Linked DNA regions of Lepisosteus oculatus. The protein of the gene in region 1 interacts with the protein of each later gene in a biochemical or structural test. Links are inferred from orthologs where the notes say so. Each region holds a gene or a part of one and is shown in the gene's direction. Other genes may lie near its edges. The genes, in order: tln1 and itgb3a.

Region 1 (7,969 bases):
CTTGTTAGTAAACATTTAAGAAAGCTAAAACAAAGCCCAGTTAATGACCTTGTGAGCATCTCCAGAACTAAGTATCTGGTAATTTAAGTATTATTATTATTCGAAAACACAAAATCTTTTTTTTTTGCTTGAATAGAATGTTTGGTTTTCATCTGTTATAATCTACCCAATTGCATTGCATCCATTAAAGATCTACTGTATAAAGATACCCAAAAACCAAATAAAAGAACTTGGCATTATTAGGGTATTCATGTTAGGATGAAGGTGTCATTTCACCTTCCTGCTGGCTGTGCAAAAAGGATGCAAAGCTTTCATTTTTCAACTAAGACTATGGGTTCAGGCTGAAGCCAAAGCTGTTACTGCTTCTGTGTTTTGGGTCTTTAAAGTCACAGAGATGAGTATTGTAATATTAAAAGGGAATTGGCACATTTTGGAACTTTTCTGACAAAGTACCTATGAAATTGTTTGAAAGACTTCTTCAATAAAATAATGATTGATAGTAAATTAATTTTAGATGAATTTGGATGAATAATATTTTTCTATATTTAAAGTGTTTCTGATTGTTCGAAATACATTGAACTAACAAAATATGGAGTTTGGGGAATAGACGATTAAATATCAATTTTCTTTATTATAGACTAATTCCAAATTATTCCTGCAATAAACAGGAACAAACAAAAGTGCAAAAACTAAAAATACAATGGAAAAACTAACAGGCAGGGTTAATAGCAAGAAACTAGACTGTCATCGTCTCATTACAAATGGTTCACATTTCTGTAAACCTTACCGTAAGCGTGTAAGAAATGTATAATAATAATTAAGTGTTTTCTTTTTTTAATTTTGTAGCCAAGAACTTTTGTTTCTATAGTTATTCTGATGAGGCTGTTTACAGTTTAAGATTTTTTGTGTGTAATGTACAGTTATCACTGTAACTAACTGTAATTTATATATATAGAATCAATTGCTTTCTAATTAACTGTCCTGTTCTTGTCAAAAATCTATGTATAAAGTGATCTCTGGTGATAGGACTTCTGTATGTACAACAGAATGAATATTTGAAAAAAAATTGAAAGCAAATAAACTCTGTTAGCTTATTTGTGCTTGTGTTTCGTTTGCTTTAAGATGGTGTAAAAAGGAACGATGGGAATTACAGAAGACATCTTCATGCTAGTCAATTACAAACTGTTGTAACTTTTTTAAAAAGGGTGCTCATAATATTTTCAGAACTACAGCTTCAACGTCGAAGGCATACTTAATTGGCATTTTAATCTTTCAACTTAAAGAATTGAACAGGACTAGGTATTGTAATTCAACATTAAGATGCAAAATAATGTTTTTGTAAAAATAAGTAAGTCAATTTTTGATATCCTCTTTTTAAAAAAAATGACAGCTTCTATAAAGATTTATCTTTTAAGAAGCGTAATTACTGTGTAATGACTGTATGCCTTTTTTAGCACTTATACTTCAGAACATTTCTGAAGATGAATCTTCAACATTAAGATGTTATGTCAACAAACGAGTGGTTCCTCACGTACAGTAGATGCCTTGCCTCTTTTGTATAACTTACTAATCATTTTGATGCAATAGTTGATTTAGAAAAAACAATTTAAAAAACATGAAAAAAGGGGAGTAATTGAATAAATTTTCAAGGTGATGAAAAGTATCAGATCAGACTGTCACAGTTTTTGTAGCAGCAAACAATCAAGTCTTTCTACAAGAATAATGTCTGAAAATGAATGTATCCAAGTCCAGTTTAAGGGTATCCAAGACACCACCAAACCTGGTCAAAATTTCTGGCAGCTGTGAGATGAAAGTGCTTTTTGACACGACTGGTGTGGCTGTGCCACCAAGCACTCAACTGCGAATAACAGTGGTTGTGGCCGAAATTTGATAGTAATGTGCAAGTCCTCACTGAGCCTGAGCAGGTGAGAGCTTAGTGGCACAGCTACACAGGTCCTGCCTTAAAGTTCTTTTCCTCAGGAACAACTGAAAGTGCCCTGTTACAGGACACTCCCAAAACTTAGGGCACCTCATAGAACCTTGCTGCCTCTTGGACAGATGGTCAGGAGAAGTCATCTTCTGGAGCTGCTGATGTGCTGTTTTATACATTTTATGGGAAATTACAGGACATACAGGTATTAGCTGGTGTGCTAAATATTTACAGGAGAGGAATTTATTGTGCCATATGGCATCCCACTCTGCATTCTGACCCAATCCTTGCGTTTCCAAAACCCGATGCCTTCTGGTGTATCCTTCAGCTGCCGGTTCGGGAATCGCGGTCTAATTCATTTTAATTTTCTACTCTGGCCATCGTTGCAAATTTGATTTCAACTCTTGAAACACTGAATTGGATTTGTCATTGGTACGGACCCTGTATTAATCTGTGAATATCAGAACTCCATTCAGGTGTTCTGTCTCAAATCTGAACAATTAGGAAAAAAAACACTTATTGAGGAAATGTTTTATAGACTTGTCTTTTCATCATACATTGATCGCCTGTTAATAGCTGTTTAGTCAGAAATAAGAGTAAACACGTTGGGTTGAAGAGATACTGCTTTTAAACCAGGAGCCTAAACAACCATTATGTTATATAACCAGGGCGCCTCTCTCATTATAAAAATACATTTTCAATGTATTTTATTGTAAGCTTTCACTACAACACAATCCAGGTAATCTTGTTTATCTGTCTGAAAATGTGATAGTGTTGAAGGGCAGTCTTCAGTTTATCAGTTTATGATGTTAAACTTAATTAATTCAGTACCAGTCATCTTGAAGCAACTAAGTCTTAACCAGAAGTACACTATAGTTAAAGCTCACAACCACTGTGTTGCAGCTGACACATCCTAAGCAATTGATGTTTTATTTCAAGAGCATTTGCAGTGCAGTCACTAATGGCCTTGGCAGCAACTGTATTGTTGGGTTGAATTCTGAGGTGGGAAATTATATAAAATGAAAATACAGATTGCTTTGGAAATGTCTGGAAAACCAAAATAGTATTTCATTTTATTCCTAATATGCCTTACGAAACCTAGTTGCACTGGATGGCCTCTAGGTGGGACTGTAGTGCTTACTGCAACAGAAACTAGCCTTGTAAACACTTCAAACACTACTTAAAAGGCAAGGAGAACTTAAAACTATAACAAATCAGAACTGAATCATTGAAATGTTTCAAATTTAATTACAATTTAAAATAGTATTAAATAAGGGTATAAGGATTTTGATTTAACTGTCTCTTGTTTGTAAATGCTTTCTAGATAATGAGCAGTAGCATGCAAATTTATTTCAACACAAACGTCTGTAGCTTTTATTGGTTGATATGGAAACATATCACTATCACCAACACTTTCAATATGTCAATATCCAATTCAGAGTCACAGTGGCCCAGAGTCTATCCCAGGAAGCACTGGGTGAATGGTAGGACACACACTCACACCAAGGACAAGTTTTCAAGAAGCCAATTACCCTACTAACAAGTACTGTATTTGGAGTGTGGGAGGAAACCTGGAGAAAACCCACACAAGCACAGGGAGAACGTGCAAACTCCTCACAGACAGCACACCAGGAATTGAACCCAGGTCCCCCAGCACTGCCCCAGCAAGGCAGCAATTCTCACCAGTATGCCACTGTGCCGCTTAAAGCCAAATTTCAGTAAAATAAATCTTTTACAATATTAATGAATATGCATATTCCAGTATATTTTTGTTTACATCAATTTCAATATCTGCATTTCATATGAAGAATGCAGTAGTGTATTTCTTAGTGTGTACATATGTATTTCATAACTCAATACTGGAGAGATTCAAACTGTTCGCCACTCCAAGCAAAGCCAGTCTTTAACTGTCATGAGCAACTGAAGTGCAGCTACACTCTTGCTTCTGGAACGCTTGTGATTTTTTTCTGTTTAGTCCAAGTTTATACTATTCTCAGACGCTGGCCTTGTATGGAGTTGATGGCATCCAGAACAGAGATACATACCTAATACAGGGATCTGAACTTGGACCACTGCTCTTGCTAATTCATATCCATGATCCCGATTCCGGTGCAGTTAGTAAACTAGGGTGGTTTTCAGATCATAGCAAAATCCACCACCAACCTGTTAAACCAAGCAAAACCACTCCCTGTCCGAGGGAAGATCAGAAACAAAGATCTTAACCGCACAACGTTAGGACGTTGTTGACAATTGTGGTCTCAAAATTAATAGTCTTGGGTATATGTTAAAACAAAACATTCCCATTTTGAGGTAAATTCCCAGGTGTGAGTTTACCAAGCATTAATGAAGTTGTAGCTGTCATTCTGCCATTGTTTCTTTAGAAGAAACCCATTCTTTCATGGGTTAACAAAATGTCGAGGCTCGGTCTTGCAGGTCTCCCTGAAAAGCAACTGTATCATTTTCTGGACAGATCTGTAGAGCAGTGAAGCGCAGGAGAAGCATGGTCTCCCCTTGTCCCCTTTAACCGCCCCTCCGCTTGCATCACGACGTCGTGTGCACATCTTAGGGCTGTGTCTGTGCTGGGTGGAGTTTGTATACTGCTGCTGAACTCAGCAGGGAGGGAGCTGAAAAATCACAATCTGACATTTACCAGCAGTTGGAACATCTCGGAGGGCTGGGGGAGAAAAGGGATATTTATTCTGTTTGGAGCAATAAAAGTGGAAACGTGACCAGGGAGAACAAATCACAAGAGGTGAGTACAAATCCTATTTGCTCATGTAAATGCAAAGTTGGGCTAAAGGTTAAAAGTTTTGTACTGCCTTTTTTGAATGTGAAGTCTCTTCCGATGTCAAAAGGACAACTTGCTTTGCTGTAAAACTGCCCTGTAGGGCTAGTTTTTTTGCCAGGATATGTGGCCGGATATTTTAAAACTTCTTTATATACTTTAGTATAGAAGCATTTCCAAAACTTCCCTAAACAAATCGCAGTAGTTTGGAAAACGCTCAGAATACAAGTTGAGTTTCGTTTTTATTCTAAATCTGAAATGAATAACTCGTAAGGACTGAAGGGAGCAGTGCAAGCAGGCAGGAAAAGCAACGAAAGCTTCTCATTGGCTGAATAGCAGACAACTTGTCGGATTTGTGTTATAAACCTTTCTTCTGGCGTTTATCGAGGGCTTCGTGGGTAAATAAGGCTTTGGAGAAGAAGCTGGATATTTATGTTGCTGTAGGGCACGTAAAAAGGAAACAGCCCATCTAGAAAAGAGAAGTAAACCCAGAAGGAGGAAGAGAAGACGTGTTTGTAGGCTCCTTACGTGGGACCCTTCGGGTTTTCGTGTTACACAACTGCATAATGATTAAAACATTTGTGTTTTTAGGTGAGTGAGAAATACAAATCTTTGCATACCTTTGCAATAATAGCTACGTAGGTGTGTAAAGTCGGAGGCCTAGGTTTAATCACACCTTCTTAAGGAGTTTTACGTTGTTGCTGATCGGTCGGAGCATTGATTGGAGACAGTGTAACTACCTTAAGCGAAGGCAGGGGTGGTGGCTCGTTTTGTAAATAGGATTTAACATAATAAGTTATTTTATGAGAACAGAGTTTTGGTGTAGATATCCTGTTTGTTACTACTTTATATAACAAGGAAAAGGTAACATTGTCTCTTAGGAGGGAGTGAGTAGCCAAAGTACTGTACTGTAGGTCAGAAATCGAAACAGAGTTATAGGATCACTACTGAAAATCTGATAAGCTACAGTAATTCACAATAAAGGGGAAGTTAGAACTTTTCAAATTATTCTGTTTTAGAAAGTTAAAATTGAGAATGAATTAACACTGTAACTATAAAGATTCGTGTATTTTATAGCTTAAAACTATTTTATCCATTATGTTTTTCCTCCATTTCGTCGACAAAATGTGGGCTTTTTGAAATCCGCTTTAACAACAATAATCCCCAATAGCATTTTCAACCTGAATAATTATTAGTATGTTAATTATATTAAATCAAACCTTTCAGTCAGTAAAACGATAATATATTTTTGTATGCTTTGTATATCTGAAAGGTATGCCTTACTTAAACAAATGCACTTACAGTACATGTTTTTTTTATAAGACTTGATTGAGAACTAGCTGAAAAGAAAGGTACTATCACATGTTATGCATCTATATGTATGAAACATACTGTACATATAGTCTATATATACAACTATAAAATAGATAACACACTTATATAGCGCTTTTCTGGACACTCCACAGAAAGCGCTTTACAGGTAATGGGGACTCCCCTACACCACCACCAATGATGTGTAGTTTTGTGTTTTTTCTTTGCACCACAAACGTTTATCATCTAAATACCATTAACCTCCGTAACAATAGTAACGTCGTAAACCTATGCAACTGTCTCAATCTAAGCAGGGTGCTGTTTCCTATTTTCATTCACTCCTGACTCTTTCATAGAACATGTACTGTATTTGCAAGTCATTCTTTCCTCTGGTTTCTGTCATTCTCATCCAATGAAATCGCAATGGAGTTAAGATCGGAAGCCCTGAGTTTTAAATGGTTTTGTTCTGATTTAGAAAAATGCTATTGTGAGTTATTTTCTTATTATATAAATTCTGTCTTTAGTGTCTTGGCTTGCTCGGCTCAATAACTCCTTTGCAGTTGCACAAGATTGAAGAGGGACAGATGGGCCCCTCTGATCTGCTTCCCCAATTATCTGGTCTTCTTTCGGCACATGACAAGCTCCACAGGGATGTACCTGAGGTTAACAGCAATTGGAGGAGAGGCACGTCACTTAGTGAAGTCACTGATGAAACTGCAGTCCCCAGGCCCACTCATCCCAACCCTGTCCTTTTTAGAGTCTCGTAGCTTGAAGAATCTCCAGTCAGAGTAGAGCTTAGTGACATGGCCTAAACTCAGACTCATGTCTGGATCATAGAGCACCAGCTTCACACAGAGCCAGTATCTTTACCAATGGAGCCATCTGCAGGCTCCTGAACCTTTTGTTATTTTTTAATTTAGGTTTTGTGTAGCCATGTGTTTAAAATTTGTAGAGACAATTGGGTTTTATTTGCCTAGTTCTGTATAAGAAGTATATGTAATGTGCTTACAAGCACTACACTAAAACTCTTCACCTTAATTAGACCTAATCTTAGTTGAAGCTATTGCACAGCATTAGAGAATGCATTGATACTGACACATCCTCATTGTGTTCTGATTGCAACTCTTGATTCTGTGCTGACAAAACCTCAGACCTTCTTAGCGCCATCTCTGTGTCTCTCTGCAGGTACTGCACAGCATTTGTTTTGTTTTATCTGTAACATACTGTTTCCTTTTGGAGCTCTGGCTAGCAGACATTACTTCATTTGTCCAAACCCGTGACCTCCTTTGCTCTGGTGACTGATCTAATGGGTTTAGTCCTCATTTAATCATTAAATATATTGTTCGTGTACAAGTGCAGATTTTCCCTCCTCGTCAAGATGGTTTCTCAAGCACTTCTTCTCACGGTTTCCTTTGATATGGTGCGTTTTGACTTGGACTTGAAGTCAGCTGTATGTCGAGTTCTGTGCAGGTTAAGAAAAGGAGTTAGAGACATTGTAAAAGTCTGTATTCTCTTTTAGTTGTTTTAATCTCTTCATAGTTACCACTAAAGTTTGCATAGTTTTTTTCTCAGTCTATTTCAGCCTATATTCTCTGTAAAAAGCTTTGACCATCTTGTGTGTCTCTTCTTCATTAAAATTCTTTCATAAAAGTCTTTCTTCATTACTCTTCACTCCTGTTTCACACTTTCCTAGTCCCATAACTGAGAAGCTGGTTTCAAATGCCTTTCCTTTCTCAACTTGTACTGAAAACTGCATGTACGTTTGCATCTGAGAGAGAAAAAAAGCCCATTCAAGAGGATAATGGTTTTAAACCAATATAACACATCCACAAGTCTACCATGTTACGAAGTGGATATGTTTTTTTTACATAAGCTACTAATTTCTCTTAATTTTCCTTGCTTAGTTCGATTTGGATAAGATGTTCAGATAGTCCACTAAATCT
Region 2 (7,881 bases), on another chromosome or scaffold:
ATCTGGATCTTGTTTTTAATTCCTGATCAAGTACTGTATCATCTAATACCATAACGTTATAATTAAAAGATATGAATTGAAGTTGGAATACTGTTAGCACTTGCACAACTAAACTTTAGAGATTAGGAGTTTAATACTGTTTCACTGAGTGAATGGCTACTCATAAAATGTACACTTACACCTGTAGAAGATTACATTAAAAAAAACTTAAGAGGTGGATATGATTTTACATTTTGATTTAAAAAACCCACAAACTACACCACTCTCCAAACAAAGCAGTGTATCATTTTAGAATCCCTGAAATGATTTTTGAAAAGGTTAGAAAGATCATTCGGAGCACAAAATGCACACTGATTCTCACTTCTCTTTCTGCATCGTTCCATGTTCAGAAAAAGTGAAGAAAACAAAAATTCATTGAGACAAATTTAGATACAAAATTGCATTTCAACACAAAAGGAATGTAAATTAAGAGATTTAGAAATATAAAGAGCAATATATATCCTGGTTAAGAAATGCTGTGGCACATCAGATTAAAAACATTGTTATATACAGTAGTGTGATAAAACATTCAAGAACCATAGAGTTTCTTTTTACAATAAAAATCAAATAATATTAAGCCCTTTGCCCAGTTTGATCAAGCATGCATTCTAGCCTTGCCTGAAGCATCCTAATAAACCCACTGAAGCCATTGGTTTCACTGCAATATTCATGAATAGATCCAGGCCAGTAACATTTTCTGGAGATAAGATCAAAATAGATTGTTTCATACACAGACCAGGCAAGGTTTAAATAGCCTTCAAATTAAGAAGTGCAGTTATTTGTATCATTTTTATTGGCTTCAGATAAAGAATAGGGCACACATCATGTCACAGAAAATAATGTGGGTTCTGGAAAAAAACCCCACAAAAGATTCATTTCTTTTCAGTCTTAAAGGAACGTCGTGCATAGACAGGCTTTAAAAAACAGTTTTTTCTTCTTGGAACAATGGGAAAGTTATTCAAATATTTAAAGTGTTCAAAGGCAATAACAGTCTTAACTGTTACATACAGTAATGTACTTCATAATTAAAAGCAAAATCCAGACCATAAATGGACATTTCAAACTGAGAATAGAGTCCCTTCCTTATGTAAACGGTTGTGGAGACATGGAACTAGCTGCCCAGCTAAATTAGAGCTGAATTTGACCTGGTTTATTTTAAAATGAGACCAGATGATATCCATAGATCAATTTGATACTAGCAAACAAATTAGCTAAATAGACTGAATGACCTACTCTTACTTCTAAACTTTCTTGTGTTCTTATGAATGGAAAATATATTATGGGTGGGATATCACTTTGTTTTATCTCCTCATCCTTTCACAGAAAATGACATCCCTGAGAACTACACCTGAGGATAAAGAAATTAAAAGGACATGAATGAGCTAATATACTGTATTAGATAGGTTTTAATGAAGAGCGTCAGAAAGACAATGGCATTTTCTATGGCTCATTGAGGAGTGTGTGACACTTAACAGTTTTCCAGTTCTTTTGCTGAGAAGCTAATCTGTGGGCTCAAAGAAAACAAATTTCAGGAGTGCAATGTGCTCTGCAGGTAGTAAATGTTCCCTTGAAATGCTTTATTGAATTTTATAAAGCACACACAAGCCATGTGTTCTTGTCTTCCTCTGATATCAATGTGTTTAAGCCAAGTTAAATCACTGCTATTGTATTCATTGTCCTAGTTGACCATATCTTGGCCCTAACTTTTTGCTGGTCTTCTTTAGTCACCAGAAATGTACTTTCATGCTATCTCTATGTTTTTGCTAGTTTCTAGTTGCTAGTGACCATTTATTTGCTAATTAAGATAATTCAACCGTCAAAAAGGAAGATCTACATACTTCCTCTCCAACTCTTCCACCTGATGGAGCCATTTTCATTTGACATACAGGTATACAGGTATACTGTAGCAGTACCTTACAGTACAGTTAAGGAACCAGCAGAGGTTAATTCCATGCAGTCAGATAAAGAGTAAAATTCACAATGTTGTTATCAGGTGAGTGAAGGTTGAAAGTGACGGGGCAGGAACTGAAGGGATACAGGTCTGACGGAAAAAGAAATCGAAGGTGAAAAGGGCAGCAATTTATTGCTTGGGGCAGTAAGGCAAAATCCAAGGGGAGGTTTGAAAGGCAGGCATGTGTTAATTCAAAGAATGAATGGAACTGAAAAAGATTAGCCAATTGTTTTGTGCAGGGGAGTGTGTGAACCTAGAGACTGTTGGTGAACTTGGCCTCTTGTATAAGGATTTGAATCCTTGTGATAAAGAATGATTCAAAAACATTAGTTATCTACATAATCCTAGTTCTGTAAGTTTTACACATGGAGCCTGTCTGGACCTAACATAGATACAGTAGGTTACAGTGAAAACAAAATGCAAGTGATACACAATTTGTATTTATAAACATTGTTCATTTAGATTAAGAACCAAGCCATATTAAATAATGAATAACAGGGTAATGCACATTGGCCTAATTGATCTAATTAATTAATATCCGTTTGGCTTTATTTTTAACCAGATCAGTATTCATGAGTGGAAGATGGATTGAATCTTCTGCAGTTACTGTATGAGCTTTTGAAACAAGGACAAACAGTTGCATACACATGTAAGAAAAATGTTTTCTGGTGTATGAATTGTTGCATAAAATACAAATATGTATTAATTTCTCAAAGTTAAACCCATTTTTGATTTTTGATTGTGTCCACCCAGCCTTGGACACAGATACTAGAATGATCTTCAGAATAATGTAGATGAATCTTGCGAAGATTAAAGAGGGATGGAATAATTATTTGTAAAACCCAAGTATTTTGCATATCTGAAACTAGAACTTTTTTAATGTGGCACTGTTTAAAACACTAAACAAAAATGTTATCCCATGCATTGCAATTTGTTCACCTAGATGGACATTAGTGACACTGTTTCCCATTGGCACACGAAGCAGAAATTAAAGACGAGGGCTCTGGTTTTCTAGCAAAAATCTTAATAATTCACTCAGGTGTCTAATACGCTCTGCAAAGCACTTCGAAGTCCAGCACCTATCAAATTTGATTAGTTTGTGAGGGGAAAAGAGAAACTGGAAATGAGAGAAACATTAATGCTTAAGGTGCAATCAGAATTGTAAGGGCTTTGGGTACCGGATTGCAATGTGATTCCAGCACATTCGTGACTGTAACTTAGCAACCGCAGGGCAGAAAATAGAAAAGGGAATGGAGAATAATTCAATAAGAAGAGGAATACGCCAAAGATCATAGGGAGGCTGTAGTGGTTAGACTTCCATATTGGAGTCAATTTCGTAGCAGCGCTTATGGAGATGTGCATTGATCTCGGTCATACAGAAAACTGCCAGTTACTTTTCATTGAGATAGCTCTTGTTTCCACTGGCACATTCGGTCCTGGGTTACAGTCACACTTCTTAGGTGAACGATAAAAGTCTGAAATTTTGCAAAGCTAAGCTGGTCACTGGTGGCACATGGATCGCTCACAGTACACGATATACTATATGTATTCTGATAGAACCAGTAATATCTTATTACTTTAATCACTTTAATCTAGTGTTTGGATACCTTCAGTAAGAGTTCATGTACAGTATATACAGCATTAATTCCCATACAGTATGTGTTTCTATTGTGCTAACTAAATGCAAAGGAAATGTTTTGTGTAGCTTTAATTAGAATATTAATATGACCACATTGTAAGTTAGCAGATCATTCATTATGCGTGAGTTAAGGTTCATAGGCTGGAAAGTCGTCGGTTCTGTTAGCTGGGCTGGTGATGTACTTCATTTTGGCCGCTAAAGGGCAGCAGAGCAAAGGCAAGGGTAAAAGCGGCATTTTGGTCAATTGCTCTTCAAACAGAACAGCGTGTGAGCATTTGTAGATAAACGTTTGCGAACGCAAAGTAGCACACTCAAATGTATTGATCTTTCTAAGGTCAGATATGAATGACTGACTTAATTCAATGTATTATCAAGACAAAAATCTGAACTCTTAAATATAAATACACCATGAACATATATTCGTTTTGTAAAGTAATATGGATTTAGAATATATATGTTACCTATTGCAACTCCAGTTGCTTAATTTGCACAGTACATACAGTACAAAAGCGCTATTAGAAACGCGCCGCTATTTTTGTGGGACGTTATAGGTTGCTGCTATTAAGGTACCAATTCAGGATTATCTGATCAGAGCCAGTGTGGTGTTGCTCCCAGACAGCCGGTACAGCCCCTTTTGTGCCCTGACTCGTGCCTGACTAAGCCGCTTATTAGCTCACCGGAAAGACTAAAACTTCGAATCTTGTACAAGTTATGATTCACTTCTCCGTCCTGGACCTACTGAGGAAGAGAGCGTCATTTAAAGTCCTGGAGTAAACCCGACTCTTCTCACAGAGACGCGCAGACTCACTTTAAAAATGGGGAAATTCTCAGAGCGATTTAGGAAGACTTTTTGGACATTATCCTTACTCTTTTTTATGTCTTTTGAAGTTTGGGGTAAGTTTAACAACTTTAGCTAACTTTAGCTTTTTTGGTGCAAAGCTATACACTTTAGTTTACCTTCCCCTGTCGATGTGTGCATTTGTATTTCGACAAACTAACATTCCTCAAGTATGCATGTGATGTCAGTTGTTGTTTTTTTTTAGATTAATGAATATTCACTTGCATCCTTTTCCTCCCACATTCTGAGTTTTCATTTTTGAATATTCTTTTACGTCCTGCTTCGAAAAAAATATTAAAAAGAGCAGGGGGTTCTTTTGTGTTGAGAAAAATGTTACCACTGGAAAGCTAGAATGATACATTTGTAGTTTTTATTGAGGTTCTGTTATTGGAGGGGGTTGATCAAGTGGAGCGCCTTGGTTTGGTTTTGGGGCCATTAAAATGGTAAATCAATGATAATTATTGCTATCATCAGCATTCAAAGGGAAATTACAATGGACCAGTCTGAAGTAAGGAGACTTGATATTCAAAAATGTAAAATTCCCTTTTGAGCCTCAGGTTTGTTTGCATCGCGGTGCCGACACACCTAACGTTTTTAACATGCTCTGTCCACACTGAATAATGTTTGATCGAGAATCGAGATTGATTAAAAATCTCGAAATAAAATTGGTTTGCCTGCTCGGTTTTGTTTGGAATAGAAAATAATTGTTCTTCACCCTTTCTATAGTTTTTTTTTTAATAACATACAAACGATTATATTGCCAGCTTAGTAAAAGCTATTGACTTTTTGGCAATTCAAAAAGCTCTTGATGGATATAATTGTTGGGCAGATCAGTACCCAAGAGAGCATGATATATTTGGAATATTGTACAGTACAGGATGTATTGATTTGTTACAATTAATAGATCTTTTTCCAGGTCAAAAAGACAGTTTATTGAAAGTTTTTATAAAAGGTCAAAGAATGATGCTCTGTCCCAGTTCATTGTTGTTCTGTCTTTGAGCAGAAAGAGGAGACAATATGGCAGTTACTTTGGTTAAAACCTCTTTGCTGGGTTATACCATATATTACATGATTACTGTATACTTTATCAAACTTGGATTCTTTGTTCTTTTTGTGCATTTTATCTCTTTCAGATGCTCAGTACAATTACTGTACAAGAGATTCGCTGTTGCAGTGTCTTTATGTTTAAGTTGTAGTGTTTTCTTGTTATACCTCCCAATTTGGAATCACCTTGTGACCATAAACTCAGATAACCACTATGATCCTTGTACTGTATTAGCACAGTGTGCCACCCCTTCTCAGAAAGATGCCATTGAGCTACCTCTTTCACGACCTATACGCCCCCAGTTAGCAAGGGAAGGGAAGGCTGATATAGCTCTCACTGGTAGCTGCATATATAAACCATTATATTATAAATTGTATCATCAGGTTGAGGAAGATTCCTATCTTAGATAGCGTGGCAAGGGGTCTTCACATGAACCATCTAACTGTTTGTTTCCCGGATAACAGAGGCAATAACCCCTCGGTCGATTCCGGTTGGCCAGGTACGCTCATTAACCGTCTTCTTATTTACCGGCGTCCTGACCCGGAAAACGACCGAGGCTGCTACCCATTTTAACCCATTACAAGTCCTCTCTGACTTGTAGTTCTTATCAAAACAGTTATCTCTGAACTGACTCTTTACTAACTCATGAGGGCCCATGGGAGAGAGAGAGAGAAAAGAAAAAAACACCTCTGACTGGCCTAGGAACTGCTTTTATAGGGAGCTAAAGTCACCAGGTGCAGCCAATTGAGTGATTTCCCTGTGAGAATCCGAAGAATGTGGTTCTCCTAAATGGATGACCCCGCCCCTGGGGAATTCGCCTTTTCAGCCTTTGCTCTGCTACACGGGTATTCTAAATTATGATAAACTAGAAGTTTATAATCCCAGTCAAGTGACAGGGATCACCACTGGATGCTAATCAAAGGACACTTACGCCCACTCAGCCCTTTTGGAGTTCAGCCATTTGTGTGGCACTGCTTGGGGAATCCCAGTCACAGCTGGGTGATGACAGCAAAATCTGAAGTGTATGATTCAACCTTCATTTCAAGAAATTGGCTATCATTGTAAAGCCATTTGGAAACACTAACCCATTCACATTTTCACTCAGACATACAGAACTGGAGTATTATGGATATCAACCCACACAAGGGATATTAGTGTGTACATATAGTTTTAGGAGGTTTACCAGTATAAGCATTTAGTGTGGTAAATCATGGGATTGCGATTGCAAATCAGTTTGATGAGACCCTTTTGAAGTATGATGGCACTTTTGCAATATGAAATACACAGAACAAGGTGGCATTATAGATGTAAATGTTTATTGCCCTACTAGTACAGTAGTCTGTCAATGATTTAGAATTAGAAAATAAAGTGACTTACTGGGCTATGATACAGATTGATTTAGAGGTCTTTAAAGCACAAAGTCTTCAAAGCATGATTAATGGAGTGAATTAAGGTCTTTTGTAGGTAGGGCATTTGTTCTTGTGTGTACTTATTATTTATTTGCTCATTAAACACCCTTATCCAGGGTGTTTATACTGTACTTACAGTGTATACATTGTCTTAAAGTGTTCATGTACTTTTACATGAAGTGTTGGTTCAAAGAAAACAAACAACATGATTCCAAGCAAGTATGGAAAAATGAATTAAATAAATGATGCAAAAAAACAAAACAGATCACAAACAGAACTGACAAGTATTGACACAACATACAGTATGCAGTACTGAACAGTGACGCATACACCCTGTTGGTATTGTTACAGCTATAGGTGTGCCACATGGCAGAGTAAACACTTTTATCTTCAAAGCAGAGGAGATGTTTGCTGAAATGTGGGGGTTCCCCTGATCAGAAAAAAAATGTTTCCTTGGTACAGTATACCTACTGTAGGTAATTAAAATGTGGGTTAATCATTGTAACTGAGCAGTCCAGTAACACACCCTATGGTCATATTAAGATCACAGAAGGGGAATGAAGAAAAGAACAAGAAAAGGAGAAAGGACAGGGAGCAAAGGAAGGTCAGTCCACAAGGAGCCAGCAGAAACTTGAAACTTGTGCCAGGCGAGAGCCCCCACATGATCATACTGTACAAACAAAACCTCAAAACCTGACTGGAGCTTAGTATTTGAACCTTGGTAGAGAGAGCTTGCTATTCTGTGTTTTTAGGGAACTTGGGTTTCCAGGGTAAAAGACATCTTTCCTTCTTAGGGTGCATTTGTAGAATAGGGAAGTAGGCTACCATTTATTCTGTGGCATCTTTGTTTGCAGAGAGAGAGGTTTAACTGCAGGTTGTATTGCATTTATTAAGAAGGCATCTTATCTCTCATTGTAGCCTCTGTGGGCATTATTCAAGAGTTGAATACTTACAGTAGTA

The links.
Region 2: the proteins of tln1 (region 1) and itgb3a form a complex in vitro, tested with the Homo sapiens proteins (6 studies listed by BioGRID and IntAct, with this or other methods). The link is inferred for Lepisosteus oculatus from reciprocal best matches to the Homo sapiens genes TLN1 and ITGB3.

What each region holds. Positions count from the first base shown.
Region 1 is NC_090698.1:26,146,490-26,154,458, reverse strand, and holds the start of tln1 (talin-1), read left to right. Parts: upstream 1-4,530; 5' UTR 4,531-4,682; intron 4,683-5,125; exon of another isoform or gene 5,126-5,306; intron 5,307-7,969. UniProt on the Homo sapiens protein: High molecular weight cytoskeletal protein concentrated at regions of cell-matrix and cell-cell contacts. Involved in connections of major cytoskeletal structures to the plasma membrane.
Region 2 is NC_090723.1:2,579,011-2,586,891, reverse strand, and holds the start of itgb3a (integrin beta-3a), read left to right. Parts: upstream 1-4,209; 5' UTR 4,210-4,444; coding exon 4,445-4,523; intron 4,524-7,881. UniProt on the Homo sapiens protein: Integrin alpha-V/beta-3 (ITGAV:ITGB3) is a receptor for cytotactin, fibronectin, laminin, matrix metalloproteinase-2, osteopontin, osteomodulin, prothrombin, thrombospondin, vitronectin and von Willebrand factor.